Linked DNA regions of Saccharomyces cerevisiae S288C. The gene in region 1 interacts genetically with each later gene. Each region holds a gene or a part of one and is shown in the gene's direction. Other genes may lie near its edges.

Region 1 (3,658 bases):
TCACTGTGGTTGGCTGGAGACACTTCCACGTACAAAACATATAGAGATCCAATATCTAATTGTGGGAAGCTACTTCTTGGAGGGGTGGATCCTTCGCTGTTTACCGGTACACTGGGAAAATTTGACTTAATTCCTTACGTTGACCCAGTGAGTAATGCTGTTAGTGTTGGGTACCCAATTGTGCCATTAGGCCCTATTTATATTGTGTCTAACAGCGGACAAAGTTTGAATATGACTTCGAAGGACTTTCTGAGCCCAGCCTTACTTGATTCAACTTCTTCGGTCAGTTACCTGCCAACTAGTACCATTATTCAGATTGCCGTTCAAATTGCGGCCACTTATGTGGAATCACTAGATAGGTGGCTAGTCCAATGTTCTATAGCAGATATGGGTGTCTCCTTGGGTTTCAGGCTTCGAGAATTGACAATTGAAATACCCCTACGTGATTTATTATCATCTACTTACGATACATCCACCAATTCTTCAATGTTTTTCAGTTCTGGACAGGAAGCTTGTTTTCTAACACTATACGCTAATACAAATACTGGAGTAAACATACTCGGAGAAGCCTTCATAAAAAATATATATATGGCAATGGACTTAGAGGATAACACTATAGCCATTGCACAGGCAAAGAAGGTTGAAGATGACGCAGTTACTGAAGAGACAAATGAAACTACCGCGTCCACTATCATCAAGAAGATCAAATCTGGTTACATTCCTTACGCAAAAGTGATGAATAGTAGTAATACAAGAAACTTGACTCTTTATCCATCCTATAGGTCAGGCTATATGTTCACTGTCCCAGGTCAACTGACAGCAGCATACTCAAACGGTGTGATTACAGGTGCGGGCCGGTCATTCTATGATACTTCAAGAGCAAGCACAAGTGCTAGACCATCCAGTACTCAATTCGACAGCTTTTCTGTGTCAGCCTCAGAAGAGTGGTCAAATTCAACTAATAGAACCAGCAGTGCTTCGGGAGCAGGCGTTCGATTGAGCAGTCCTTATACATTTAACAAAGATCCAGCTGGACATGTAACTCGTATAGCTTCCTTGCTACTACTTTCGATATTCTCGATACTTATTGTTCTTTGAATGGTTTTAACAAAAGTTCATAACATAAAACCTTTTTCTCCTTGACCAATGCACGTATAACATCATTATATAGCAGATTTAATAACAACATACTTAAAAGTATATATGCGTCATTCTTATCCAGTTGTGTAGAAGCTAGTACTTGTGATCAACCATTGGCAGCCATCTCAAAGAATCGTCGTGCACGGAGCGTAAATCGCGTTACTTTTTTTTTTGTTTTTTTTCCCGCCTCGAGGTTGGTTCAACAGCAGATCATGGTGACTGGCGATAGGTTATTCACTAGAAAATGAAGATACTCTTTCTTGGGAGGTAACTCTGTAAAATTTCTAATTTGTATTTTATAGTGTGTAGAATCCGAAATATATCCGATCTACCTCGCTCTTTTTATTGTTATTTTTATTCGAGGAATTTAAGTGTTTTGCAGACCTATCCCTTCGAACACGTAACGTCATTTTACCATAATCTTCGACTGCTTAATTGTTGATACATTGTAGGTTCCATTACACTTTGCCAGCATTTTCCATTTTTAGAAAAATTGATACATATACGCAAGATTTAGCATGGAGAATAGAAACAGTAGTACCTCTAGTAGGCCATTTTCTGTTAATAACCCGTTTAGAAATGCCACAGTTGATTCAAGTATTAATCAGTATAAAAATGACTCCCAGTTTCAGGAGTGGGCGAAAAACCAATCTCGTACCAATTCATTTGATATGCCACAATTGAACACAAGAACTTCTTCACAATTATCATTCCCAAACATTCCAGAGGATGAACCCCAGCGAAACGCAGATCAGCAGGGTGCTTTTTATTCTGGTTTGGAGAGCTTTAGTAGTGGTAGTTTATCACCACCTTCGAGACCTCTTTCCTCAAAGAATCCTTTCCTAGACGATGTGAGTTCTGCAACCGATTTTAGAAGGTCTCCCCCACCTGTTTCAAGGAATAAAAATCATCCCACTGCTAAAGAAGAAAAAGAACAATTAAGGCAAAGATATTTGGAGGAAAGTGACGTAAGTACAGTAGGTAACACAAGAGAAAACACTGACCTACCACCCTCATACGAAGAGATCACTTCAACCAATGGATCAAGGCGTGCATATCCAAAGGAAAAGGTTTCTCGTCCTTCTTCTCACCGCGAACATAGCAACAGCGGCACATATATTTCACGCAGATCTTCATCCCACCATCACCGTGAAGCTTCCTCATCTTCAACGCCTTCTAAGAAGGGAAAGAGAAAAAGTAAGGTTATTGTTCCTAAGAACGTCGATACTATCGATAAGTTAGATGTAACTGGATTGTTCGGTGGCTCATTTCATCATGACGGCCCATTCGATGCAGTAACACCTCATAGAAATAAAAATAACAAAGCTGCGCCTGTTTTAGCATTTCCGGTCGATGGTCCAAACAGTACCATCGGTGGCGCTTCAACCAAGAAGTCTGCCCTGGATGAGGTTTTTGGGAGAGATGATACAGATGATTCTGATATATACCAGTACAGTTCGCAGACTCTAAGGAGAGGTGGTGATACGCAGGACGCAATAAAAGCAAACGTGGGTAACGTCCAACAAATGGATGCCAAAAATAAGACAGAATTGGTTCATGGGCCAGTTACTGCGGGATTAGGTTCTAGTACGTTTTTAGATGGGGCGCCGGCCTCCTCAGCTGCCATTAGAAACGACATAAAAGCCCATTCCTATCATAATCGTAACGGTGGTTTACAAAGAAATAAGTCACTTTCTCAACGATTAGGTCTCGGAGGATCCGGTGATAGCAATGCCCCCATGACAGGCGTTAGAAGAAACTTGAGTTTAAGTAGAGACAACTATGATGTTGGTCACAGCAATGAAGGTGTTAGAAGGTCGAAAACCGTTAATTCTCCTAACAGAACGCATAAGTCCAATTATACTACTGATTTCGACGGCCAAGATGATCACAATGAAGATGAGGAAGACGTTTATTTGGGTGTGCGCTACAATGAGCCCAATATGAAAAAGAAATCGACGGGCAGCAAATTACTGAGCAGAGTAAAAAGTCTAAAGGTCGGCAGGAAAAGTCAGTAAAGTGAGCTTAAAAGAGAGAAAAGAAGCTATGAGACACCAAAGCCAGGCAAATAAAAGGGAGAGATACGAATAAAAATAATTTAAGACCACGTTATATACACATTACGAATAGTTTGACTTTATATATTTACAGAGACTACCAACTTATATCAAAAGGAAAAAATTCCCATTACCAGTTTCATTCATAACGTGTTGAATGCTTGGATCTTAGTACGTTGAGGTAACCTTGACTCTACAATTTTCCATTCTATAGAGTCCCATACCCTTTCTAAATATTCTCGTTTCCCAAATACGCCATAATCAGTTAACCATGTTTTTGGTGACGCATCAATGGCTAAAAGCGGGATATATGAAACCTCTTTCCCAGAAAAACCTTTCTGTTGGGTTTCATAAATAAATTTTGTCTTGGCTTGCTTGGCAGTCATCTCAGAATCTTCAAGATTACCGGCTTCTTTGGCTCGTTGTTTTTCCATGTTGGTATATTGGTTATTGAGCTCATT
Region 2 (3,758 bases), 310 kb from region 1:
CATTTAATATTTCCTATCCAAAAAAAGCCAGCTAATTCTCTTCTTTTTTTTTCTTATTTTGCCATTTTCAATATTATCGATTTAGTGAACACCTGGCTAGTCAGTTGTCTTAGCAAACATTTCTCAAAAGAAAGCAAACCAGCATTTGCTTTTTAAATTTAGTTTTTTTACTAGCTAATTCATTTACTAAACAACAAAAGAAAATAGCACAAAATGGAAAGCAAAGAAATATCAATTAGGTCAAGAACCCCTCCATCGAAGCTATATTCCATCCAATCATGTATTGGCAGAGGTAACTTTGGTGATGTGTATAAAGCAGTGGATAGAGTTACGCAAGAAATTGTGGCAATTAAGGTGGTCAACCTGGAGCATTCCGACGAAGACATTGAACTGTTAGCACAGGAAATTTTTTTTCTGGCGGAATTGAAATCTCCTCTTATTACAAACTATATTGCAACAATGTTAGAAGATGTCTCTATGTGGATTGTCATGGAATATTGCGGCGGTGGATCATGTTCAGATTTACTGAAGCGAAGTTACGTCAACGGTTTGCCTGAAGAAAAAGTTTCCTTCATTATTCATGAAGTCACCTTGGGTTTGAAATACCTGCATGAGCAAAGGAAAATTCATCGTGATATCAAAGCAGCTAATATTTTACTAAATGAAGAAGGTATGGTTAAGTTGGGTGATTTCGGAGTAAGTGGCCACATTCGTTCCACTTTGAAAAGGGACACTTTTGTAGGAACGCCGTATTGGATGGCTCCGGAAGTTGTTTGCTGCGAAGTTGATGGGTATAATGAGAAAGCAGATATATGGTCCTTGGGTATCACCACCTATGAGTTACTCAAGGGCTTACCCCCATTATCTAAATATGATCCTATGAAAGTTATGACTAACTTACCAAAAAGGAAGCCTCCAAAATTACAAGGTCCCTTTTCGGATGCAGCAAAGGATTTCGTAGCTGGTTGTCTTGTTAAAACACCTGCTGATCGGCCATCGGCATATAACTTGTTATCATTTGAATTTGTTAAGAATATCACCATAACGAACTTGAAAAGTGATGTTGATCTAATTAAACAGAAAAAGGTTCAGGAGAGATATACAAAAGTTCCCAAATACCCTCTTCAAAATCGCTTGTATAAAAACAGCAACACAGTGAGGGGAAAGGAATTTTGGAATTTTGAATCGACAAGACTAAGCACAACACAAATTTCCAAAGAGGAATTATCTCCCATTACACAAGACTCTCCAACATCATCTTTAAATATGGAAAGTCCTTATTTACTTCATGGGCAAACTGTAACGCCGATAACCAACCCAAGTTCTTCATCATTTAGAAAATGTACGCAACCAGTTTTCGAGCTTGATTCAGGAATGGATATAGATTCAGGCTGCCCAAATGCTCAAGCAGAGACCGAAATAGTTCCTCTCTCTAATCATAATAAGAAGCATAAAAAGAACGATATTCAGGCGTTGAAGATAGAAAAGTTTGACTACTTGAAAAACATTGTATCTCATATTCTCAACAGAATGTATGATCGTGCGCGCGACGATGAAACAAGAAAATACGTAAATGAAATGTTAAAGCAATTCATTAAAACTGAGGCAAACGTTCCTGGATTTAATGAGGTTTTTATAGAAGAGATCTCACTAAGAATTGAAGCAATAAAGAAAGGATTCGTTTAAAAAAATAGATATATATATATAATGTGTGTATATGCATGAGTTTTTGTTTTCCATTCTCTTTCATCTTCAATAAATGAAGGATGGATATATTGAATTATATAACAAACAGTAAAAAGTCATGTGTTTTTGATTATTTACCTGCTTATTTCTCCCTTTTTTTTTCGATTCTTTTTTTCTGATCGAGCGTTTATGTCTTTACTGTCCCGTCATTGATGCGTCTCAAAAAAAATATTTTGTGGCATTACTTAGACTATAAAAGAAAATGCCAATTTGGAAAACACAAACATTCTTCACTAGTATTTCTGTTATTCAAATAGTCAATAAAGAAACCAAAGTTTCTACAAAAAAAGAAAAGGATAGCATGTTGAACCAGTTGAACACAATCTTAAGATTTTTATTCTTGTTTCTGCAGTTAATTAAATCATCCGCTGCAGTTGAACCTAATGGTGGACCGAATATTCTAGATCACAACATTATGTTGGTTAACACTAATGCAACGATCCCTAAAAAGGAACAAACTGATTTTGAGGTGATTTCTCCAACAAAACAAACACAAGTAGATGAAGACTGTAAAAAAGGCTTGTATCATATTGAGAATGCTGGAAATTTGATTGAACTGCAAGCTAAATGTTGGAAAGTGGTAGGAAACATTGAAATATCAAGTAACTACAGCGGATCTCTTATTGATCTAGGGTTAATAAGAGAGATAGAGGGAGATCTTATTATCAAGAATAACAAACACATTTTTAGAATCCAGGGTTATAATTTAGAGTCTTTGGGAAAGTTGGAATTGGATAGCCTAACTTCCTTTGTATCATTAGACTTTCCCGCTTTAAAAGAAGTTGAAACCGTTGATTGGAGAGTTTTGCCTATTCTAAGTAGTGTTGTCATTAACGGAAATATTAAAAAGATCAAAAATATTATCATATCTGATACTGCATTAACCTCCATCGATTACTTCAATAACGTCAAGAAAGTGGATATTTTCAATATCAACAATAACAGGTTTTTAGAAAATTTATTCGCAAGTTTAGAAAGTGTTACTAAACAACTAACCGTCCACTCTAATGCCAAAGAGCTGGAACTTGATTTGAGCAACTTACACACGGTTGAAAATATGACCATTAAGGACGTTTCAGAAATTAAACTAGCTAAACTTTCCTCTGTGAACAGTTCTCTAGAGTTCATCGAGAATCAATTTTCAAGCTTGGAACTACCACTTTTGGCAAAAGTTCAAGGAACGTTGGGGTTAATAGATAATAAAAATCTGAAAAAGCTAAACTTTTCGAATGCCACCGATATTCAAGGGGGTCTAATGATTGCTAACAATACAGAGCTTGCCAAAATTGATTTCTTCCCCAAGTTGAGGCAAATTGGCGGTGCAATATATTTTGAAGGTAGCTTTGATAAAATTGACCTCCCAGAGCTAAAGTTAGTAAAAGGTAGCGCTTATATCAAAAGTTCATCTGAGGAATTAAACTGTGAAGAATTTACATCACCAAAAGCCGGTCGTTCGATCATAAGAGGCGGTAAAATCGAATGCACATCTGGTATGAAAAGTAAAATGCTGAATGTTGATGAAGAGGGGAATGTACTAGGAAAGCAGGAAACTGACAATGATAATGGAAAGAAAGAAAAAGGAAAAAATGGTGCAAAAAGTCAAGGAAGTTCAAAGAAGATGGAAAACAGTGCTCCGAAGAACATTTTTATTGATGCTTTCAAAATGTCAGTTTATGCAGTTTTCACGGTATTGTTCTCGATAATTTTTTAGGTTAGAAGATTAACTTAAATACTAGCCATTTTATTTAGTTCTTATGAGATATAAATTTGCAGTAGAGATGTAGTGTTCTGATTATCTTCACCTGGAGCATAGCGTAGCCCACTTAGCATCAGCTTTTTATGTTATTTCAGGCATTACCAAAACTGGTTAAACTATTGAAACTGTTACCCTCCTTTTAATTTTGACAGTTTTTGAATAATTATTATGGTAGATCATCTTAACAAAATGAGCTCATTAGGTAGATGATTTAATTGAAAAATAGTGTTTTGATACGGTTCTTCCTTAGGGTTAA

Evidence for each region. Genes that interact genetically often act in the same process or in processes that back each other up.
Region 2: mutations in PAL1 (region 1) and SPS2 together harm fitness more than expected from each alone (negative genetic interaction), as found in Saccharomyces cerevisiae (2 studies listed by BioGRID).

Annotation. Positions count from the first base shown.
Region 1 is NC_001136.10:1,169,826-1,173,483, reverse strand, and holds PAL1 (Pal1p), read left to right. Parts: upstream 1-1,658; coding exon 1,659-3,158; downstream 3,159-3,658. Other genes in the region: YPS7 (putative aspartic endopeptidase), read left to right, coding at 1-1,098; mitochondrial 37S ribosomal protein mS43 MRP1, read right to left, coding at 3,341-3,658. UniProt on the Saccharomyces cerevisiae protein: Involved in the early step of endocytosis.
Region 2 is NC_001136.10:1,483,494-1,487,251, reverse strand, and holds SPS2 (Sps2p), read left to right. Parts: upstream 1-1,948; coding exon 1,949-3,457; downstream 3,458-3,758. Other genes in the region: putative serine/threonine protein kinase SPS1, read left to right, coding at 214-1,686. UniProt on the Saccharomyces cerevisiae protein: Involved in middle stages of meiosis. Redundant with SPS22 for the organization of the beta-glucan layer of the spore wall.